3 linked regions of the Stegostoma tigrinum genome follow. The protein of the gene in region 1 interacts with the protein of each later gene in a pairwise test. Links are inferred from orthologs where the notes say so. Each region holds a gene or a part of one and is shown on either strand. Other genes may lie near its edges.

Region 1 (7,944 bases):
ACATTGTAACATCAGCAACTGTAAAGCCACCCTCCTCCATTCACTTCGACAGAATGAACCAACGAGCTACATAACATTCAGCTAAGGTAACAAGAAGGTCCAAACACAAGATTAAGTCGGCAAGGTGCGAAAAGGGAGCAATCCGCAGTGGTGGCGGCAACATTTCCTATGAAGAAAATCTACCAAGGGAGTCACGGCAGGGATTCCCAGCCACAAACGGCAAAAAAAAATTTCTGCCCATCCTTTATCCTTCACAGGCACACAGTCCATTGAGGCCATTCGCGCCCGAATTGCTGCAAACCCAATGAAGGCAGATGCTACTCAGAACATCATGCTTCTTTGAAACAGCTATCCTGCTCACGGCATATCCTCACCCTTGCACTTTACAAACGACAAAAATTCCGGGCACTTGCCTGATTCCCTCTCTAATCTTTCTGCCACGTCGCCTTGGAAAGGAATCCCAAAACCTCCTGAAGGACTTTAAGTGAACTGTCGCGTGCTTCTCGAATCTGGGGCACGTGGATCGGAACACTCTCCTGCAGCCAACAGTCACCCACCCCCCATAAACACCACCACGCAAACCGTAAAAGTGACCTGCCTTTTCCAAATCAATGCAAACCTTCTTGGCAGGACAAGAGAGGAATTTTTCTTTTCAAAATTAGTTAAAATCCTTATTTTCATTTTGTGGGGGAAAAGTTTGCAGAGATGAAGTGATACATTTAAGGAAAATGCAAAGGGAAGAAAGAAGAAACTGTACCACAAAGGAAGATATGAGCGAAAAAAGACCTGACAGGGCCTCAGAGTGAAGACAGAAGAAAAGGAATACGAAAGAGGGTCATTTTGGAGTGGAATAAGTAAAAAAAGAAGAAAGAAGAAAGTTTAAAAATGCATGCGTAGAATAGGGTGAGAAGAATTTACTTGATTTTTTTTTGTTTGTCTGAATTTTTGTGCAGGAAATGTGGGGAGGTGGTGGGAAAACACTACAAGAAAACACCCCATAAAAGTCTTCAAGCCAGAAGGAAATGCCCACAGTCAGCCATGTCGGGGGGGGGGGGGGGGGAGGTGAAGAATACAAGGGAATATTAAAAAGACAGGCAGGAAGAGGAAGTGGGGAAAAGAAAAGCAATATTGAAAAAGGGGGAAGGGGTAAGAGGGAGAAAGTTAAAAAGGGTAGGGGAGAATATTAAAAGAGACAGGAAGAAAGGGGAGAACATTTTTAAAAATGACCGGGAATATTTAAACAAGGTGGAGATATTGAGTGTAAGAAAGAAAAAGGAGGGTATGGAAAGGAAAGGAATATTTAAAAGAGAAAAGGAACAGAAAGAAGGGGCAAGGTGAAACTATTTTGAGAAGGAAATAGAGGGAGAAATATTTACAAGAAGTCAGAGAAGGATATTTAAAAAAATGAGGGGGGAATGTTCTAAAAAAAGAAAAGGGAGGGGATATTTAAAAAACAAAGGAAAGGAATTTCAATAAAGGGAAATAGAACATTTTTAAAGAAGAAAGGGAAGGGGGTAGATAGAATGAGTATTTTGAAAAAACGGGAGGGGAAGAGAGAGAGAGAGGATATTTAAAATAAAAAGGAAGGGAGGGGGAAGAGAAGGCATATTTAAAAACAGAAAGGAAGAGAGAGAATAGAGGGAATATTTAAGAAATGAAGGGGAGAAGAGAGGCAATATTTAAGAATTGAAGGGGAGAGGAGAGGGAATTTAAGAAAAGGAAGGAAGGGGGAGGAGAGGGAATTTTTAAGAAAAGGAAGGTCAAAAGAGAGGGAATATTTAAAAAAAACAAGGGTAGGAGGAAGAGAGAGAAAACATTTAAGAAAAACATAAGCTTTGTAGAGAAGGGGAATGTTTAAAGGAAAAGGGGATTTATTTAAGAAAGGGAATGGGGGAAGAGGGGAAATTTCTGGTTTTAAAGTAGGCGGAGGAGAAAGAACATTTTGGAAGGAGCAAGGATATATTAAGAGGGAATTGGTGGGCAGGGGGGTCAGAGGAAAACACTGTTGGGGGGGTGGATGTCAAGTTAATAACAGGAGGATTCAGAAAGAAAACTGTTGCTGTGGGGGGTGTCAAGTTAATAAAAAAGGGGGATTTAAAAAGAAAACTGTTGTTGTGGGGGGATGTCAATTTAATTAAAAAAAGGGGGATTTAAACAAAAACTGTTGTTGTGAGTGGGGGATGTCAAGTCAATAACGGGGGATTTAAAAAGGAAACTTGTGGTGGGGATGTCAAGTTAATAACAGGGGATTAAAAAAGAAAAGTGTTGCTGGGCGGGGTGTCAAGTTAATAACAGGGGGATTTAAACAAAACTGTTGTTATGGGGGGGGGTGTCAAGTTAATAAAAGGGATTAAAAATGAAAACTGTTGCTGTTTCGGAGATGAAAACGCCCCGTTCGAGCTTTTGAAATTCTGGGGGGGGGGGGGGGGGGGGGGGGGGTGAAGAGAAAGAAAACCGTGACCCCCGCCGCGATCGAGGTCATTTATTTTATTTTATTTATTTATTTACCCCGCAACCTTAGTTTTCCAGTTGCCCCTCCCCCCTCCTAAAATGGCGGCCCTACCCCTCCCCCCACCACACACACAGACACAACCACCTCCCGCCGGCGCGAGAGGCCGCCCGCAACCGCCCCCCCCCCCCCGCCGCCAGGTCCGTTTCAAACCGCCGCGCGCCGCTTCCAACCGTAAAACCCAATTTGAAATTCAACCGTCAACCGTCGCCCCCACCCCGCGCCGCGCGCCGCCCGCCCGCCGCGCGCCTTTTTTCACCGCCCCCCCCCATCCTCCTCCTCCTCCTCCTCCTCCTCCTCACCTTGCTACGAGACGATGTTTTTTTTTGTTGTTGTGTGAGGGGGGGGCGGAATTCTAAAGGTGGGGGGTTTGCGTTTGTGTGTGTTGTGGTGGTGGTGGTGGTGGGGGGGGGGGAAGAAATGTGTGGGTTTCTTGAAACGGAACAGGAACGGTTTCTCTCCGTTTTTCCAGGCCCCCCCCAGGGGCGGGCACGCGCGCCACACACACACACACGCGGGGACACGGTTTTGTTTTTTTGGGGGGGGTCCTGCGAACGGCGGCTGCGTCACTTCCGCTTTCTCCGCCAGACCCCATCCCCTTTTTTCCTGGGTCCGTGAGGTCACTTCCTGCCACCACCTCCTCCTCCTCTTCCATCGTTGACATCCCATAATTGGTGGAAGACAAGGTAAGATTCCCTTTCCTTTCTTCTGGTGGTGCATCAACTCTACCCCCCCCCCCCAACTCAATCCATCTTCCACCCCCCCCCATTGCAACCATTAGTAACACTCCCCCCCCCCCCATCACCACCATCTCTCCACCTCACCCCCCCCCATCACCACCATCTCTCCACCTCACCCCCCCCCATCACCACCATCTCTCCACCTCACCCCCCCCCATCACCACCATCTCTCCACCTCACCCCCCCCCATCACCACCATCTCTCCACCTCACCCCCCCCCATCACCACCATCTCTCCACCTCAACCCCCCCCCATCACCACCATCTCCCTACCTCACCCCCCCATCACCACCATCTCTCCACCTCACCCCCCCCCATCACCACCATCTCTCCACCTCATCCCCCATCACCACCATCTCTCCACCTCACCCCCCCCATCACCACCATCTCTCCACCTCACCCCCCCCATCACCACCATCTCTCCACCTCAACCCCCCATCACCACCATCTCTCCACCTCACCCCCCCCCATCACCACCATCTCTCCACCTCACCCCCCCATCACCACCATCTCTCCACCTCACCCCCCCCATCACCACCATCTCTCCACCTCAACCCCCCATCACCACCATCTCTCCACCTCACCCCCCCCCATCACCACCATCTCTCCACCTCACCCCCCCATCACCACCATCTCTGTACCTCACCCCCCCATCACCACCATCTCTCCACCTCATCCCCCATCACCACCATCTCTCCACCTCACCCCCCCATCACCACCATCTCTCCACCTCACCCCCCCCATCACCACCATCTCTCCACCTCAACCCCCCATCACCACCATCTCTCCACCTCATCCCCCATCACCACCATCTCTCCACCTCACCCCCCCATCACCACCATCTCTCCACCTCACCCCCCCCCCATCACCACCATCTCTCCACCTCACCCCCCCATCACCACCATCTCTCCACCTTAACCCCCCCATCACCACCATCTCCCTACCTCACCCCCCCATCACCACCATCTCTCCACCTCAACCCCCCATCACCACCATCTCTCCACCTCACCCCCCCATCACCACCATCTCTCCACCTCACCCCCCCATCACCACCATCTCCCTACCTCACCCCCCCATCACCACCATCTCTCCACCTCACCCCCCATCACCACCATCTCTCCACCTCACCCCCCATCACCACCATCTCTGTACCTCACCCCCCCATCACCACCATCTCTGTACCTCACCCCCCCATCACCACCATCTCTCCACCTCACCCCCCCATCACCACCATCTCTCCACCTCACCCCCCATCACCACCATCTCTCCACCTCACCCCCCATCACCACCATCTCTCCACCTCACCCCCCCATCTCCTTCTTTTCTCTACCTCATCCCCCATCACCACCATCTCTCTACTTCACCCCCCCATCACCACCATCTCTCCACCTCACCCCCCCCCATCACCACCATCTCTCCACCTCACCCCCCCCCATCACAACCATCTCTCCACCTCACCCCCCCCCCATCACCACCATCTCTCCACCTCACCCCCCATCACCACCATCTCTCCACCTCACCCCCCCATCTCCTTCTTTTCTCTACCTTATCCCCCATCACCACCATCTCTCTACTTCACCCCCCCATCACCACCATCTCTGTACCTCACCGCCATCACTCTACCTCACGTCCACATCACCACCATCTCTCTACCTCACGTCCACATCACCACCATCACTCTACCTCACGTCCACATCACCACCATCACTCTACCTCACGTCCACATCACCACCATCACTCTACCTCACGTCCACATCACCACCATCACTCTACCTCACGTCCACATCACCACCATCACTCTACCTCACGTCCACATCACCACCATCACTCTACCTCACGTCCACATCACCACCATCACTCTACCTCACGTCCACATCACCACCGTCACTCTACCTCACGTCCACATCACCACCATCACTCTACCTCACGTCCACATCACCACCATCACTCTACCTCACGTCCACATCACCACCGTCACTCTACCTCACCCGCATGATCACCGTCTCTCTACCTCACTACTCCCTGATCACCACCCTCACTCTCCCTCACCACACCCATCACCACCGTCACTCTACCTCGCCACCCACCATCACCCTACCTCACACCCATCACCACCATCACTCTACCTCGCCACCCACCATCTCTCTACCTCACACCCTATCACCACCATCACTCTACCTCACACCCATCACCACCATCACTCTACCTCACACCCATCACCACCATCACTCTACCCCACCAGGGTCCATCATCACCGTCATTCTACCTCACCACCACCCCCCCATCACCACCATCACATCTCTCTACCTCACCCCCCATCACCACCATCACATCACTCTACCTCACCCCCCATCACCACCATCACATCTCTCTACCTCACCCCCCATCACCACCATCACATCTCTCTACCTCACCCCCCATCACCACCATCACATCTCTCTACCTCACCCCCCATCACCACCATCACATCTCTCTACCTCACCCCCATCACCACCATCACATCTCTCTACCTCACCCCCCATCACCACCATCACATCTCTCTACCTCACCCCCCAACACCACCATCACATCTCTCTACCTCACCCCCCATCACCACCATCACATCTCTCTACCTCACCCCCCATCACCACCATCACATCTCTCCACCTCACCCCCCCATCACCACCATCACATCTCTCTACCTCACCCCCCATCACCACCATCACATCTCTCTACCTCACCCCCCATCACCACCATCACATCTCTCTACCTCACCCCCCATCACCACCATCACATCTCTCTACCTCACCCCCCCATCACCACCATCACATCTCTCTACCTCACCCCCCATCACCACCATCACATCTCTCTACCTCACCCCCCATCACCACCATCACATCTCTCTACCTCACCCCCCATCACCACCATCACATCTCTCTACCTCACCCCCCATCACCACCATCACATCTCTCTACCTCACCCCCCCATCACCACCATCACATCTCTCTACCTCACCCCCCATCACCACCATCACATCTCTCTACCTCACCCCCCATCACCACCATCACATCTCTCTACCTCACCCCCCATCACCACCATCACATCTCTCTACCTCACCCCCCCATCACCACCATCACATCTCTCTACCTCACCCCCCATCACCACCATCACATCTCTCTACCTCACCCCCCATCACCACCATCACATCTCTCTACCTCACCCCCCCATCACCACCATCACATCTCTCTACCTCACCACCACCCCCCATCACCACCATCACATCTCTCTACCTCACCCCCCATCACCACCATCACATCTCTCTACCTCACCCCCCATCACCACCATCACATCTCTCTACCTCACCCCCCATCACCACCATCACATCTCTCTACCTCACCCCCCCATCACCACCATCACATCTCTCTACCTCACCCCCCCATCACCACCATCACATCTCTCTACCTCACCCCCCATCACCACCATCACATCTCTCTACCTCACCCCCCATCACCACCATCACATCTCTCTACCTCACCCCCCATCACCACCATCACATCTCTCTACCTCACCCCCCATCACCACCATCACATCTCTCTACCTCACCCCCCCATCACCACCATCACATCTCTCTACCTCACCCCCCATCACCACCATCACATCTCTCTACCTCACCCCCCATCACCACCATCACATCTCTCTACCTCACCCCCCCATCACCACCATCACATCTCTCTACCTCACCCCCCATCACCACCATCACATCTCTCTACCTCACCCCCCATCACCACCATCACATCTCTCTACCTCACCCCCCCATCACCACCATCACATCTCTCTACCTCACCCCCCCATCACCACCATCACATCTCTCTACCTCACCCCCCATCACCACCATCACATCTCTCTACCTCACCCCCCATCACCACCATCACATCTCTCTACCTCACCCCCCCATCACCACCATCACATCTCTCTACCTCACCCCCCCATCACCACCATCACATCTCTCTACCTCACCCCCCAACACCACCATCACATCTCTCTACCTCACCCCCCCATCACCACCATCACATCTCTCTACCTCACCCCCCCATCACCACCATCACATCTCTCTACCTCACCCCCCAACACCACCATCTCTCTACCTCACCCCCAATCACCACCATCACATCTCTCTACCTCACCCCCCCATCACCACCATCACATCTCTCTACCTCACCCCCCATCACCACCATCACATCTCTCTACCTCACCCCCCATCACCACCATCACATCTCTCTACCTCACCCCCCCATCACCACCATCACATCTCTCTACCTCACCCCCCCATCACCACCATCACATCTCTCTACCTCACCCCCAATCACCACCATCACATCTCTCTACCTCACCCCCCATCACCACCATCACATCTCTCTACCTCACCCCCCCATCACCACCATCACATCTCTCGACCTCACCCCCAATCACCACCATCACATCTCTCGACCTCACCCCCCATCACCACCATCTCTCCACCTCACCCCCAATCACCACCATCTCCCTACCTCACCCCCAATCACCACCATCTCTCGACCTCACCCCCAATCACCACCATCTCCCTACCTCACCCCCAATCACCACCATCTCTCGACCTCACCCCCCATCACCACCATCTCCCTACCTCACCCCCAATCACCACCATCTCCCTACCTCACCCCCAATCACCACCATCTCT
Region 2 (8,393 bases), on another chromosome or scaffold:
TCATAGGACATCGCAAAAGCTTTGCACCCTGTGACATATTTTTGAATTATAGTTGCTGTTGTAATGTCAGAAATGTGGCAGCCATTTTTTTTCTGAAAGCAACCTCCCACAAACAGTAATGTGACAATGACCAGAAAATCTATTCTTGCAATGTTGATTGGAGGTTAAGCATTTGTCAGGAGATCAAAGAAACGTCAGCTTTTGTGCTGCTAAGATGCTGCTTAGCTGCTGTGTTCATCCAGCTCCACACTTTGTTATCAAAGAAAAAGTTCCTACTCTTTTTTGAGGTCTTCATAGGAGATAGAAGAGTGGTAAATGGCATAACATCTCATCCTCCAGTGCAATGTTCCCTCAGTACTGATGCTTGACAGTGTAGTACTACCTCACTACTGCCTTTGTGGAGATAATCTTTGCTTTTGTGCTCAGGCTGCAGTGAAACTGAACTCATAACTACCCGAATCTGAAACAAGATTGCTACCTCTTAGCCACAGATTGGCTAGTAAGTACTAAAGATGCCCTAATACCACCCAACAATGTTAGCTAAAGTATCACTCCGACACATACTAATCATTCTGGTTTAAGGGGACAATACTGGAATCATTCCTTTCACACAAGTACTTTATACTACTTAACCCAACTGCAGGTGGATGCAGAAATCTGTTTTTATTGTTAATTCATGGGATATGGCTGTAATTGGCTGGACGAGCATTTATTACCCATCCCTATTTGTTTTTGATAAAATGGTGATGAGCTGCCTTCTTGTTAGAGAGGGAAATCCAAAATTTTGACTCAACAATAATGAAGGAATCACCAACTATTTTATGATGGTGAGTGGCTTGGAGTGGAACTGGCAGGTGGTGTTGTTCCCATGTATCTGCTGTCCACGTCCTTTAGATGGCAATACTTGTGCATTTATAAGTGCCCAGTGAGGAGCCTTGGTAAGTTTCTGTGATACAAAGAGTCATACAGCATGGAAACAAACCCCTTGGTCCAACCAGTCCATGCCGAAATTAATCCCAAACTAGTCCCACCTGTCTACTCCTAGCCCATATCCCTCCAAACCTTTCCTATTCACGTACTTAACCAAATGGTTTTAAAATGTTGTAATTGTACCCACATCCACCGCTTCGCCAGGAAGTTCATTCCACACACAAACTGCTGTTGAGTGTCAGTGGTGGAGTGGATATTTCAGTATGTGATGGCAATCAAGCGGGCTGCTTTGTCCTGTATAGTGTCAAGCTTCTTGACTGTTGTTGGAACCACACTCATCCAGGTAAGTGGGGAGTAGTTCATCACACTCCTGACTTGCGTCTTGTGGATCATGGATAGGTTTTGCGGAATCAGATGGTGAGTAACTCACTACAGTATTCCGAACCATAGACCTACTCTGGTAGGCAAGGTATTTACATAGCTAGACCAGTTCAGTTTTTGTTTAAATGGTAACTCAATGATGGTAATGCCTTTGAATGTCAAGGAATAACAGTTAGATTCTTTGATGTTGAATATAGTTAGTTCCGAGTATTTGTTTGGTGGAAATGTTTGTTGCCACTTGTCAGACAAATGTGAATACTGTCCATAAGACCATATGAAATGGGAGCAGAAATTAGGCCATTCGGCTCATCGAGTCTTTTCCACCATTCAATCAAGGCCGATAAGTTCCTCAACATGCTGTCCCTCCTTGATCCCCTTGATAATCAAGAACCTATCTATCTCAGTCTTAAATGTACTCAATGACCTGGCCTCCACAGCCTTTTGTGGCACTGAATTCCATAGATTCACCACTCTCTGGCTGCAGAAGTTTCTCCTTATCTCCATTCTAAAATGTCTTCCCTTTACTCTAAGGCTAAGCCCTTGGGTCCTAGTCTCTCCTACCAATGGAAGCATCTTCCAACATCCACTCTGTTCAGGCCATTCAGTATTCGGTAAGTTTTCATTAGATCCCCTCACCCTTCTAAACTCCAATGAATATAGTCTCAGAGTCCTCAAATGTCCCTCATATGTTAAGCTTTCCATTCCTGGGACCATTCTCATGAACCTCCTCTGAACCCGGTCCAGAGCCAGTACATCCTTCCTGAGATATGGGGCCCAAAACTGCACACAATACTCCAAAAATGGCCTGACCAGAGCTTATAAAACCTCAGTAGTACATCCCTGCTTTTATATTCAAGTCCTCTCAAAATAAATGCCAACATTGCACTTGCCTTCGTAACTACTGACTCAACCTGCAAGTGGACAGAATCCTGGGCTAGAACTCCCAAGTCTCCTTGCACTTCAGACTTCTGAATTTTCTCCCCATTCAGAAAATAGTCCATGCTTTTATTCTTCTTGCCAAACTGCATGACCTCACTTTCCCACGTTGTACCCCATCTGCCACTCCTTTGTCCACTCTCCTAACCTGTCCAAAGCCTACTGCAGCCTCCCCAGCTCCTCAATACTACATTCCCCTCCACCTATCTTTGTATCGTCTACAAACTTAGCCAGAATGCCCACAGTTCCTTCATCTAGATTATTAAGTATAAAGTGAAATGTTGTGGTCCCAACACTGACTCTTGTGGAACACCACTTGTCACTGGCTGCCATCCTGAGAAAAACCCTTTTATCCACGCTCTATGTTTTCTGCCAGACAGACAATCTTCTATCCATGCTAGCACCTTGCCTCTAAACCATGGACCCTTATCTTACTCAGCAGCCTCCTTCGCAGCACCTTGTCAAAGGCCTTCTTGAAGTCCAGGTAGATAATATCCATTGACTCACCTTGAACTACCCTGCTCGTTATTTCCTCTAAGAATTCTAGCAGATTTGTCAGCAATGTCCTCCCCTTGATGAAACCATGCTGACTTTGCCCTATTTTACCATACATTTCCAGATATTGAGAAATCTCATCCACTACAATAGACTCCAAATTCTTACCCACTAATTGGCCTGTAATTTTCTGTCTTTTGCCTCACTCTCTTTTTAAATATATCTTGCTGCAGTTGGACATGGATTATGTTAGTATCTGAGTAGTTGCGAATGGTGTTGAATATTGCACAGACATAAATGAATGACGGGAGGCCAATGATAATGCAACTGTAGATGGTTGAGCCCAGGACGCTGCCCTGAGGAACTCTGCAGAGATGTTCTGAATCTGAGATGACCAAACTCCAACAACTACAATCATCCTTCTTTGTGGACATATGACTGCAACCACCAGGTTTCCTTTTGATCGCCACTGACTCCAGTTTTGCTCAGGATCCTTTACATAACACTCACGTAAAATGCAGCCTTGATATTAAGAACAGTCACTATCACCTTATCTGTGGAATTCAGCTTTGTACATTTTGATCCAAGGCTGAAATGAGGTCAGCAGCTGAGTGGTCCTTGTGGAACCAAAACTGATCATCAGTAAGAGATAACAGTTTGGAGCTGGAGGAGCACAGCAGGCCAGGCAGCATCAGAGGGGCAGGAAAGTTGATGTTTCAGGTCGGTACCTTTCTTTTCTGAAGGGTCCTGAACCGAAGCTTCAACTTCCCTGCTCCACTGATGCTGCCACGCCTGCTGCGCTTCTCTACCTTCAGTGTTATCCCTAACTCCAGCACTAGCAGTTCTTACTATCTCTGATCATCAGTAAGCACATCTTGGTAAGTGCTGCTCAACAGCACTGTTGACAATACCTTCCATGACTTCACTAATGATTGGACAGTGGACTGAAGGGAAAGTAATTAGCTCGGTTAGAATTGTCTCGCTTACTACATACAGAACCTACCTTGGTAGTTTTCCACATTGTTGTCTAGATGCAGGTATCGGCTGCATGGGGAGGGTATTGCTAATCTTCATTTCTGAATCACTGCAATTGATGGGGGAAGACACATAACCAAAGCATTGTTAAGTGAGTTCCAGGATTTTAGCCCAGCCACACTTGCAGATCAGTGATATAGTTCTAAGTCAGGATGAGTGTATGGATTAGATGGAAACTTACAGGTGGTGCTATTCCTGTGCTTCTGCTGTCTTAGTCCTACTAGATACTACAGGTCACTTTTTGAGATGTTCTCCAAGGTGTCTTGGCAGAGTTGTTGCAGTGTCTCCATGGTACACATTGCTGCAACTGTGCATGCATAATGGAGATGCCAGTCAACTGGGCAGAAGGGAATATCACGAGGGGAGACAGCATCGGAGGGAGGAGCCATCAAGGAAATAGATAAAATCATGAGCAGCCCATTCAACACCTTGGAGCTTGCTTCACCATTCAATATAATCAGGACAAACCACTGAGTTCAATGCCCTAAACCCACCCTCTCCGCGTGTGCCACAAAAGCTCTATCTACTCTCTTCTTGAAAAACGCAACTTTGGTCCTCAACCATTTTCTGTGGTAGGGAATTCCACAGAATCACCCACTCTCTGCGTGAAGAAGCTTCTCCCTATCGCACACTGCAAGTTTTACCCCTTATTCTTGAGCTTTGACTCCTGATTCAGGACTCCGCCACCTTCAGGCATCTAATCTGTTCCATCATGTTAGAATTTCGCAAGTTTCTATCACGGAGGTGGAAGAAGGGAATATTTTGAAGGAGGAACAGCATGGCTGTAGTGGGAGGGGGCGGGGAAAGAACTCATGGTGTGCAAGAGAGTATGGCATGGGAAGAGGCGAGGTAAACTGCACTGCAAGAGAGTCGTGATTGAGACCGCGTGGGGCGGCTCTTCAATACTTAAGAGGAAGTAACATTGCAAATAAGGGTGCAGTTTTTAACCGCGATTATTATGCGGGTCTCTACTGGTCAGCAAATATCCAAACACCCCCAATAAAAACAAATTCAGGGCTGGGAAAGTTGCGCATGCGTACATATACCCCCGCCCGGCGTTGGATCCAAGCGAAGGGGGCCGCGGCGCGCACGCGTAGTAATCAAACGTTCCATTAAGGAACTATTTGCGCGTGCTCTCTTTCCTTTTCCGGAGTTCACGTTTGTTTGTTTTGTTTTTGTTCATCCTGAGTTACACACCCTGATCGTTCGGTGGGGGACAGAAAGCGTGTCTGATTTTTAAAACATAAACGAAACTGACAATAGGATGAGACGTTACATTCGGAACCGATTCAACAGTGCGTACCTGGCGCGACTCGGCTCAGCCCGGACTGGGAACGCGCTGGGGCGGTTGGAGTTTGAAATAGGGTCGGCGGCGGCCGCGCGCGGGTCTCTAGTTGTGCGCTTGCGCAGTTTGATGCAAAAGACGCCTGGCGGTAGCGGCGGGGATTCCCCACTGTCCACGGCGGGTGCGTGCACGCGCAGTTTCCGGAAGCTGGAGCGTGTTGTTGGGGGGAGATGGGGAGTTTAGCGACTGCGCACAAGTAGGTTGCTCCTTCCCTTTCACCCCCCCCCCCCCCCCCCGCTCCACCAGCACACATCCCTGCCGTTCCTCTGTCTGCGCCGGGAGCGTCTCAGTCAGAGAGAGAGAGAGGCTGACTGACTGTGTGAGTGAGTGACGCGGTGGAGGTGTAAGGGACTGACGCGGTGTTTACGTCTCGGTGTGAGTGTCCAGTGGCAGCAGAGAGAGCCGGGGACTTGAGGGAAATAAAACCGGTAAGCGAGATAAATCGAGAGAGAGATAGATGGGTTGGTGTGGGTGTGGAGGGGCGGTGTTGAGGAGGAGGAGGAGGTGGTGGTGTTGGTGAGTGAACAGCAGCTTGCATCTGAACAATGGCGGCTGACTTGTTAGTGAACAGGGCTCCTGGATTGGAAAGAAAGAGTGAGCGAGAAGGGTTTCTCACTCTTCCCCGTTTCTACTCCAGGAACACCCCCCAGCAATGTTTATATCGAAAAGAAAACACACCCCCCCCTTTCCCACAAACCAATCCTTCCCCCGCCCCCCACCCCTCGTTTTACAGAAAAGTCCCCGCCAAAAATCTTATGCATTAACATTTCTTAACCAACTACCACCACCACCCCCCCCCCAACAAACACCTCCCAGTTTTCGGTTTCTAAACACGTTTTAAGAAATGTAGCCACCAGGGAAACTGGCTTGTTCCTATTGCAACATCACTTTTTTTTTCTCTCTCTCAATTTGGTGTTTAAAATAAAATGGGCGTCGGACCGCTACTGTGAGCAAGAAGTGAGAAGATCACGGGTCGTTGTTTCCTGTGCCATGACTGTAATTTCTACACACGTTTGCTTTTAAATCGCCCCCCAAAAAATCGCGCAGTGCCCTGCCCGTGTTGGAATCTCGCTGTGCAAGAGCCCCATCTCCCCCGAATCCTGAGGTGCGGAAATGCATTTGAAACTCCACAAAACATGTTTCATAATATAAATTCTTTCAGCAGTACAGAAATCCACGCTTCTTGGATTAATAGTCTTCTAAAAAGTGAAAGAATGTAGTTCAACTACTGTTAGTGATCTCGTATATTTCCTACAACATATCCGCAAAATTGCTTGCGCCCATAATACATTTTCGCCATGATGAACGGTGCCACAAACAGCTATAGTTTTGTTTAAACAGTGAAACTGAAATAATGATGCAGATTAAAAGTTAACGAGTATGTTTCAACCCATGTGATCCTCCATGGATTTGTTCTACCAGTTCAGAATTAAAATGTTTAATGTAATAATTTGAAGGTAGTTGAAATATTTATTTTGTTTTATAGTAATCCTGTGTATCCATGTAGCATGAATTCTGAAACAATTAACCATGTGCAGGTATGCAAATCTTCTTTGCATATTTCCTGTGGGACCTTTGTTTTAAATGCTGCATTGGCCTAGTTTTCACTTTGCTGCTTAATTCAAGAATAAACAAAGGACTGAATTCACATAATATTGCTTCAGTTAGTTTTGCCATCAGGCCTTTTTGTTAAATGAAGCAATTGCTGTTCTCAAGACAGAATAGTCAGATTTTTTTTGGCTGAATTTTACATGATTTCTCTCCCTGAGGTCTTGACTTTATACAGCTAGGTGATGCTGTGTATTTTTGTTGGTTTGTAAATTTATATGGCCTACATATAGTAATGAATTAGAAACTTTACATTAATGTGGCCTTTTAAAAGGGACACATTTACTTGATTATCAGATCAAGACTTGATCATGGGAGTCATTTATCGAGGGTTTTAAAATACAAATAGGTTTCAAGTTAAAGTACAGTGTCTATTTTTCAGAATATTTTAATCCAGCAGTTATTTTATTGTAATGTATCAGATGGAGGTTTACATAAGATACTTTGTCTAGTTTGTAAACTGTAAATTGGAAATGCCAGAGGCAATGGTCAGTAAATTGGTGAGATTTCCAGAATTTGCTGCTTGGAGCCACAGAGTGGCTCGAACATGCGCTACACGTAGCATCACTACCCTGTTGCCAGATCTGCTCAGATCATAACCTTCATTGAGCCTCAATTTCTGCAAGAACTGCTTACCCATATCTGATTAGTCGGGATATTGGCCCCCCCCCCCATTCTTTACTCATCACATCCTTGGTCCTGGCCCTTCCACTCAAATGTCACTGTAGATGATTTTATAAATTGTTCTCTCTCCTCTCCCAGGAATTATCAACCTTCCCTGTTGAACAGAGAATCTAGTGTCATCTGTTTGCTAGCTTGATCCACTTTTGGATGAGTTTAAACTTCTTTGGTTCATCTAAAACTGTAACCTTCCCATCTCCTCCAATTGTTACATTTATCTGAACCAGACTGTTTCCAGTTTCTGCATTTTTGGGTCCAAAAGAAGGTCACCTACATAATCATTAAAAATGCCTGTCTCCGCCTCAGCCCATCGTTAGGTAAAATCTTCATATATGCTGTTGTCAATTCTGTATCCCATTCTCCACCATACTTAACTTGCGTTCATCCAAAAACTAGAGCTATTATTCCTGTCCCCGATATCTCCTTTGTTTCACTGGCCCTTTGATATTTCTTACTCCCTTGAAGACCCTTAGTAATTTTCTCAGTTCGGGGCTAAGTAAATGCATTTTTAATGACAAGTGTATGACTAAGTATTGTAAATTCAGGAGGTTGGGCTTGGAGATATGATGTGGCTGATGATACTGTTGTGTGTGAGATGTAATCTCTACTGTATTTTACACAAGTATGTGTCAGTATCAACAAAGCTCTATTTGTATGGATCCAAGTTTATTATGTGCTCAGTACCACATTTATTTCCTTCCTTTTGCAGGCTTCAGTGGTTTGTCCAAATCCTGTACTTGGTGTTGTTGAAAATTAATGATATTTTAAAACAATTGTGCTATACAGTTTACTATGAGGATCATAGCCAGGTGGTTGTTGAATTATTGTGTTCTTTTTCGTTTTGTGTTTTGCAAAGAGCAATCAGACTTGAAGGATTAAAATGTGCATACTGTCAGTCAGAGAGATGAAAAGTACATGTATATGGTATGGAGTTACTATATGTAAAGTGCTTTGCAGCCAGTGAAATACTTGTATAGTAGTG
Region 3 (7,586 bases), on another chromosome or scaffold:
TTCAGTTTGCAGATCTACTCACTAGCTCAACATGAAAAGCTTCTTGTATAAAAAAAAGAGGCTTTTCCCACATTTTTGGCAACTGTAGAGTAGTTGAGAAATGTCAAATTCCATTGTGTTTCTCCCCCCACACCCCCACTTTTCCAAAGGCCAAACAGACAATATAGAATCTTTCAATGTATTTGTGATTTTTTTGTGCAAAGTGCTTTTGAAATAAAGATAAACAACATAACACACATTTGTTTAAAGAAACCCAGCCAGTTGTCTCTAGTGATCGTGCTTAGTTGTATCTTCTTCACTCTTAAGATCCTGGGGTTTTGTGCAGCCTTGTCAATGTTTCAATTCAACCTTTTATGTACACGCTGCACGTGAACTTCAGAAACCATGTTTATAGTCAAATGCTTCTTTCACCACAAATGCTGCTAGACCTGCTGAGCTTCTCCAATACAAAGCATTTGCTTGTTTGGGTATAGTTGACACTATCAAGGATAAGCAGTCCATTCCACAGACATATTAAATGCTGCTGTCATGACATTATAACGAACGAGCAGAAAAGCTGATGTTTTGAAGGGTCTAGACTTGAAACATCAGCATTCCTGCTCCTCTGATGCTGTCTGGCCTGCTGTGTTCATCCAGCTCCACACCTTGTTATCTTGGACTACAGCACTGGCAGTTCCTACTATCTCATGGCAAGTCACCAAAGTTTCCTCATTAGCACATTTCACACACAGAACCCCAGCCATCGAAGAACAACAGACACAAAGGAAACCAGGACCAAGAAATACACCATTCTCACTTGGATACATCACCATTCCTTCACTGTTGCTAGAGCTCCTTCTCATTGTATTGTGGAAACCTTCATTAAAACATACTATACATTCAAAGATGACTCAACAGCTTCAAGGACAACTAGGGTTCAAAAGTTAAATAGTGGTCTTCTCAAAGATGTTCACATCTTGCTCAGTGGTTAGCACTGCTGCCTCACAGCACCAGGGACCCAGGTTCAATTCCACTCTCGGGCGACTGCATGGAGTTTGCACAGTCTCCCCGTGTCTGTGTGGGCGTCCTCTGGTTTCCTCCCGCAGTCCAAAGATGTGCAGACTAGGTTGATCGGTTATGATAAATTGCTCGTAGGGTACAGAATGTGTAGATTAGTTGCATTATAGGGAATGAGTCTGGGCGTGATGCTCCGATGCGCTGTCTCGACTTTTTATGCCCAAGGGCCTGTTTCCACAATGCAGGGATACTACAATGGTAGTGGTCGTACTACGACGACGATAATCTTGAAAAATAATGTATATCAGAAATTCGTTTGTTACTTTTCTTGTAAGTAGTTATCAAATGCGTGTGGATGCAGACATTAAACCAACTAAAAAAATTAATTAAAATTTTAGGCATTCCATGATATATTGAGCTGGAAAAGCATAGGCTCCAATTGCTTCCAGAGTCTTTTTGTTTTAAGCACTTTAGATTTTTTTTAAAAAATGCAATTTGAATATAGAGGGAATCCATATCAAGCTTGAGATCAATACATTTTTAGCATCAATGAAAGTGGGTGTGGCAAATAAGACAGCTTCAAATTTCTACACTCACATGAAACCCACTTTTCAAAGTCATCACTGCGCTGAATACAAGTGTTCAATTTTTGTTACTGAATCACCTTAAAGCAATAACATCCTTCAAACCAGCAGACAATCCAATCCTGTTAATCCTAATTGGAAGCCTTGACATACTACAGGTAAAAATCTTTTTAAAAGGTTATTTCAATACTTTTCCATCATCTTAAACAATTGTTTCTATTACCAACAACTACTGCACAATTTGAAGTGCATTCTACAAAGATGCCTAAACATGAAATGGTCAATCCATAACTTCAAATTTTCCAGGTTTAATAAACCTATAATAGATCAATTTATTTTAACATCTTATTCAGAGAGGTAGAAAATTTAACACCCTAATTATAACTCTCAAGTGGCTATCATTAACAGTTAAAATTCATATCAATTCCCAACTTTATCTTCAGATTCAGAACCAGGTGAAAGCTTTCAAAATAGATTTGGAAATACCAAATGTATGATATTTTTAAAAAAAGTTTAATACAACAGTCAGCTCAAAAATTTTAAAGGGCAAAACAAATCTCTTAAAGCAAACTACTGGACAAAGACTGGGAATTAAAATTTAAACGCCAGATTGTTGGTACCTAAACTAATCACGATTGGAGCCAGACACCTGCCCACCCAAAACTTACAAACCAACAACATCATAATTTAAGTGCAGCATGTCAGACAAACAACTTTCACAGATGAAAATACGTTTATACAACTGACAACTTCCTTCAGGAGTTTAAGTTAGAAATTTCTAACAAATTTTGTCTAATAGCGACTAGTAGATCGGTCTTAGAAAGATCACACCAACATACCAGCATGCATGCATACAAGTTTCCCCGTTAACAGGAGATTTGAAAGTTTCTCTATGTTCGTCATTAGTCCTCCCGACATTTCACAAAGAAATGTAGCATCTTTGATGATAACTCTGTATTTGCGAGGCGTTACAGTTTGCATTCCCACAGCGCTCCTCACATACAGTAAAGGTATCAGAGCAGGATACAGATGACCAAGTGATTTGAAAGGACAGTCTGGAGCAAGGGGTGGTGAAGAAATTGAAGGTGGAACAGCACCTCCTTCCACCTGGATCAATACCCAGGGTGTATCCAGTCAGTAGCGCAGAGACAGCCTGCGAAGTGAGAGATTGAGAACAAGACGGGCTGCACTGCCAGACCGGACAGTCTCACCCGCCATTTCAGAGCGCGAATACCGTGCGTACACTAACACCGATTTAAAAAGAAATCGTTAATCACGTCAGGAGGAATCGACATCGACCCCCATCCTGAAGCAACAACCGTCGACTGACGGCCCATGAGCGATCGGGGCGGCGGAAACAGACATTTCCTTACCCCGACCCCACGCAGCCGCCATTTTACCCCCTGTACAGGGGAGATGGGGGGAGGAGAGGGTGGGGAACGCGGGCCGAGAAGAGTGAACGGCAAAGCGGACCGAAAAGGGTGAATGGGGGTAAGCAAAGAAAGACAGCAGCGGCAGAACAAAAAAAAAGAGAAAGGACGGGAATGAAATTTTTTTAAAAAAAATCTGCGCTTGCTTCCCGCCAAAACCCTTTCCCGCTCGGTGATTTTTTTTCCCCCCACTCTTGAATGTATTCGCTTTTCGATCTATCCAATCCCGATGCCGAAATGGAAGGGGAATGAAAAAGGGGGGGGGGGTGTCATAAGTAACTACCCCCACGCCGTATCACTGCCTCTTCTCACTCCCATTTTCCTGTCCAACTCCAGCTCGCAGCCTGTTGGCAGCAATTTGCCGGACTTACCCCGCGCTTTTGCCCCTCTGATTGGCTCCGGTATTAAACACAATGCCCCGGCGGCGAATAGGAACACAGCAGCACAAGATGGCGACCAACTGCGAGCGGCCTTCTCCTTCGCGAAACCGCTTGTTGCGCATGCGCTCTCCGGCCGGTCGTCTTGTTTTGGGGGGGGGGGCACTGAGTCTCCGGGGAGGCCACGCCACTGCACCTGCGCGGCATTGGCTTCCTCCTCCAGCGGGTTAGGGGGCGGGTGGATCACACTGCGCAGCTGCAAAGGAAAAAAAAAGGTATGACTCACGTGGTGCTGCTGGTTTACAAGGACCCCGGCGCCCGCAGGGCACGTGACTCCTGTGCAGTGCTGCCGCCATCTTGGTAATGGATTCTTTTTCTTTCGCGTCTCCGTTGGGCTTCCAGTTTAGCTGCTGTCGTTTCTTTCTGTGAAGTTGTGTTGTTTGCTTCTGTGAGTAAGAGTTACCAGCAGGCATCCTTTGAGTTGAGGAATAGGCAAGACGGTAAGTCACAAGAAAGTGCCTTGTGATAAGCCCCATCTGTTGAATAATAGGTTTTGGAGATTTGTTGATGTCCCTGGCAAGGCCACCATTTATTGCCCTCTCCCAGTTGCTGAGGGAGCAGTTTCAGAGTCACCTACGTTGCTGTAGGTCTGGGTTCACATGTAGGCTAAACTAGTATTCGGGCTGAGGGTATTGCTGATTAGGCTTAATTGTGTAGCGAGTTGTAAAGAGTCAACCTGAGGGCCTGGAGTCATATGTATGCCAGGCCAAGTGAGGTTGGCGGTTTCCTTCCCTAAAAGAACGTTACTGAGCCTGGTAATTTTTTTTTCCCCAGTGAGTGGCAACGGTTTTGTGCTCATCTTTAGACTTGTGATTCTGGATTTTTTTAAAAAAAATTGAATTCAAACTTCACTGACTGTTGTTAGGGGATTCAATGCAAGGTCCCCTGAGCACTACCTGGATCTCATGATTAGTACTCTAGAGATAATACCACTGGACTATTGCCTCCCCTAAGTTGCTCAAGGTCCTGGAAATAACTGTGAACCAGGAATTTAACCTGAGGGAGGAACTTGCAAGAGTTACCATGAACAGGGAAATGGTACATAATTTAATTGTTTTAACTGTGAGTTGACAAGTCCCCAGATCCATTTTTTTTTGTTCTTCGTTCATTCATAGGATGATGGTGTCACTTAGCAGGTAACATTTATTGCCCATAGGGCAGTTAAGAGTCCACCACATTGTTGTTGGGTCACATGTAGACCTGACCAGGTAAGGATGGCAGTTTCCTTCCATAAAGGATATTAGTGAGCCAGATGAGTTGTTTCCAACGACTGGCAATGGATTTATAGTCATCTGATTCCATCATCTGCCATGGTGGGATTTGAACAAGGCCCCCAGAATGGTTAAGATAATAAAATGTGAGGCTGGATGAACACAGAAGGCCAAGCAGCATCTCAGGAGCACAAAAGCTGACATTTCGGGCCTAGACCCCACCTCTCTGATGAAGGGTCTATGCCCGAAACGTCAGCTTTTGTGCTCCTGAGATGCTGCTTGGCCTGCTGTGTTCATCCAGCCTCACATTTTATTATCTTGGAATTCTCCAGCATCTGCAGTTCCCATTATCTCTGATACTATTTTAACCCCCAGAATGTTACTTAGGTCTCTAGATTAACAGCCCAGTGATAATACCACTAGTCTATTACCATCCCCAGCTTCACCCTAGGTTCTTAAAAGGCGTGAAGTAAAATAAATAACAGCACTACCAGAAATGTTACACAAAGGAGGAAGTTGCTAGAGAAACTCAGCAGGTCAAGCAGTACTTGTGCAGGAAAAAACAGGTAATGTTTTGAGCCTAGCAACCCTTCTTTAGTCCAGTGATTCTGAGTGGTGTTGGTATGTTGATGATGTGCCTGGGTTAGAAATGCAGGGGCTTTGAACTAATACTTACATGATGTGGGTTCACATCCCATAGTTGCATTTAAGGGTGGCATAGTGATTTAGCACTGCTGTCTCACAGTGCCAAGGTTCAATTCCAGATTTGGTCTGACTGTGCAGAGTTGTATGTTCTTTCCTTGTCTGTGTGGGTTTTCTCCACACTCCAAAGATAAGCGGGTTGGGTGGAATGGCCATGCTAAATTGCCCACAGTACCTGGGGATGTACAGGCTAGTTGTATTCACATGTTAAAATGCAGGGATGGGGGGGTGGAATGGGTCTGGGCAGGATGCTGTTCGCACTGTCAGTATAGCCTTGATGGGCTCAATGGCCTCTATCTGCACTGTTAGGATTCTGCTTTTCTTCAGAATGAACTTGGACAGTCACTGGACTCAAAATGTTATCTCTGTTTTCATCTCTATTGCCTGACGACCTAAGTTTATCCAGTACTCTGCTTTTGATTCTTAAAAAGTGAAGCTGGTTTTGAGGTGCTGAACTGAAATATTAACTTCTTCCTCTCACCACAGATGCCACCAGACCTAAGTTTCTCCAGCATTCTCTGTGTTCTTTTCAGATTTCCAGCATCCTTAAATATTTTGCTTTTAACTTGTACAGCTAGTCAGAATGTTTAAGCATTGGTTTTAATTTTCCAAATAGCAGCAAATGTAACTCTATTATTCGAAAAGGGAGACAGGTAGAAAAGAGGAAATTATATACTAATTAGCTTAACATCTGCCATAAATAAACTTACAGAAGCTATAATTAAATATGTCGAAGGGAAATCATGTTTAACTAATTTTTTGGAGTTCTCTGAAGAAGCAAGATAAAAAGTAACCAGTGGATGTGTTAAATTTCCAGAACCATATGATAATGGAAAATAAAAGCTCATGATGAAGACTGTAACATATTGTCTTGAATAGAGGATTTGCTGGCTAGCAGGAAAGAATAAATGGGTCTTTTCCAGACTGGCAGGATATCGATGGTGTGCCATGGAAGACAATGCTGGGGCCTTAGATAACAAGGTGTAGGGCTGGATGAACACAGCAGGCCGAGCAGGAAAGCTGATGTTTCGGGCCTAGATGAAGGGCCTAAATGTCAGCTTTCCTGCTCCTAAGATACTGCTTGGCCTGCTGTGTTCATCCAGCCCTGCGCCTTGTAATCTCTGATTCTCCAGCATCTGCAGTTCCTATTATCTCTAATGCTGGGGCCTTAACATTTTAAAAGTTTTAAAAATGGCTTGGATGAAGGCACTGAAGGAATGGTAGCTAAATTTGCTGATTACCCAAAAATAAATCCAGAATGTGAGCTGTGAAGAGGACAGAAGGGATATGAACCAGTTGTGAACTAGCAAAAATCTGACCGATTGTGTACAATGTGGAGAGGTATGAAATAGTTTTTTTTTCCCCCTGCCAAAATAGACTATCTAAATAGTGAGAGGCTGCAGTGTGATCTGGGTGGATTGCAGAATGTCAGTATACACATGCAACAAGTAATCAGGAAAATTGATTAGAACATCTTGGCTTAATTTTTAGGGGAATTGAATGCGAGAGTACAGAGGTCATACTTCAGCTATAGAGAGCATTGGTGAGACTGCATCATTTGGATTATTGTACAGCACAGGTCACCATGTGCATGCAAGAATGTTAACATATTGGAAGCAATTCAGGGAAGGTTTATTAGCTTTATTAGCTTAATTTTATTATCTTAATACCTGGAATGAGTGGATTGCCTTCCGAGGAAAGGCGAGACAAGCAAAACGTGTGTTCTTTAAAGTTTTTAGAAGAGTCTGTGATACATTGGAAACGTAAGATCCTGATGGAACTTGACCAGGTGGGTGTTGAAAAGATATTTCCTCTTGCAGGAGAATATGGATCATAATTTTAAAAAAGATCACCCATTTAAGGAAAAGATTAAAACATTTTTCTTTATAATTCTGTTTCTCTAAAGGCAGTAGATGCAGAATCTTTAAATATTTTTTAGGTGGGAGGTGCATAGTTTCTTGATTACCAAGAGAATGAAAGATTATGGGGGATATGCAGGAATGAGGAGTTGTGGTTCAAATCAGATCAGTCCCAATCTTATTGAAAGGCAGAACTGGTTTTAAGGGCCGAGTGGCCTACTCTTGTTCCTTGTTTGTATGTCCATGTGACCTGCCAATTCCTGAGAACCATTCACTACACTTCACAACTGATGTATAATTATGGTTAACATGAGGAAAGGGTGAGTGGCAGTAGATGTTCCACAAAATCACACCCCTAAATAGCACT

Evidence for each region.
Region 2: the proteins of pogzb (region 1) and creb1b interact in a two-hybrid assay, tested with the Homo sapiens proteins (2 studies listed by BioGRID and IntAct). The link is inferred for Stegostoma tigrinum from reciprocal best matches to the Homo sapiens genes POGZ and CREB1.
Region 3: the proteins of pogzb (region 1) and nuclear transcription factor Y subunit alpha-like interact in binary tests that used the Homo sapiens proteins (3 or more experiments, as listed by UniProt). The two-hybrid records come from large-scale screens. The link is inferred for Stegostoma tigrinum from reciprocal best matches to the Homo sapiens genes POGZ and NFYA.

Annotation. Positions count from the first base shown.
Region 1 is NC_081400.1:4,827,370-4,835,313, forward strand, and holds the start of pogzb (pogo transposable element with ZNF domain), read right to left. Parts: upstream 3,080-7,944; 5' UTR 2,812-3,079; intron 952-2,811; exon of another isoform or gene 414-951; intron 1-413. UniProt on the Homo sapiens protein: Plays a role in mitotic cell cycle progression and is involved in kinetochore assembly and mitotic sister chromatid cohesion.
Region 2 is NC_081360.1:14,408,521-14,416,913, forward strand, and holds the start of creb1b (cyclic AMP-responsive element-binding protein 1b), read left to right. Parts: upstream 1-4,893; 5' UTR 4,894-5,072; intron 5,073-5,080; exon of another isoform or gene 5,081-5,164; intron 5,165-5,246; exon of another isoform or gene 5,247-5,318; intron 5,319-5,352; exon of another isoform or gene 5,353-5,550; intron 5,551-6,077; 5' UTR 6,078-6,227; intron 6,228-8,393.
Region 3 is NC_081374.1:9,815,374-9,822,959, reverse strand, and holds the start of nuclear transcription factor Y subunit alpha-like, read right to left. Parts: upstream 3,514-7,586; 5' UTR 3,382-3,513; intron 3,357-3,381; exon of another isoform or gene 2,420-3,356; intron 1-2,419. UniProt on the Homo sapiens protein: Component of the sequence-specific heterotrimeric transcription factor (NF-Y) which specifically recognizes a 5'-CCAAT-3' box motif found in the promoters of its target genes.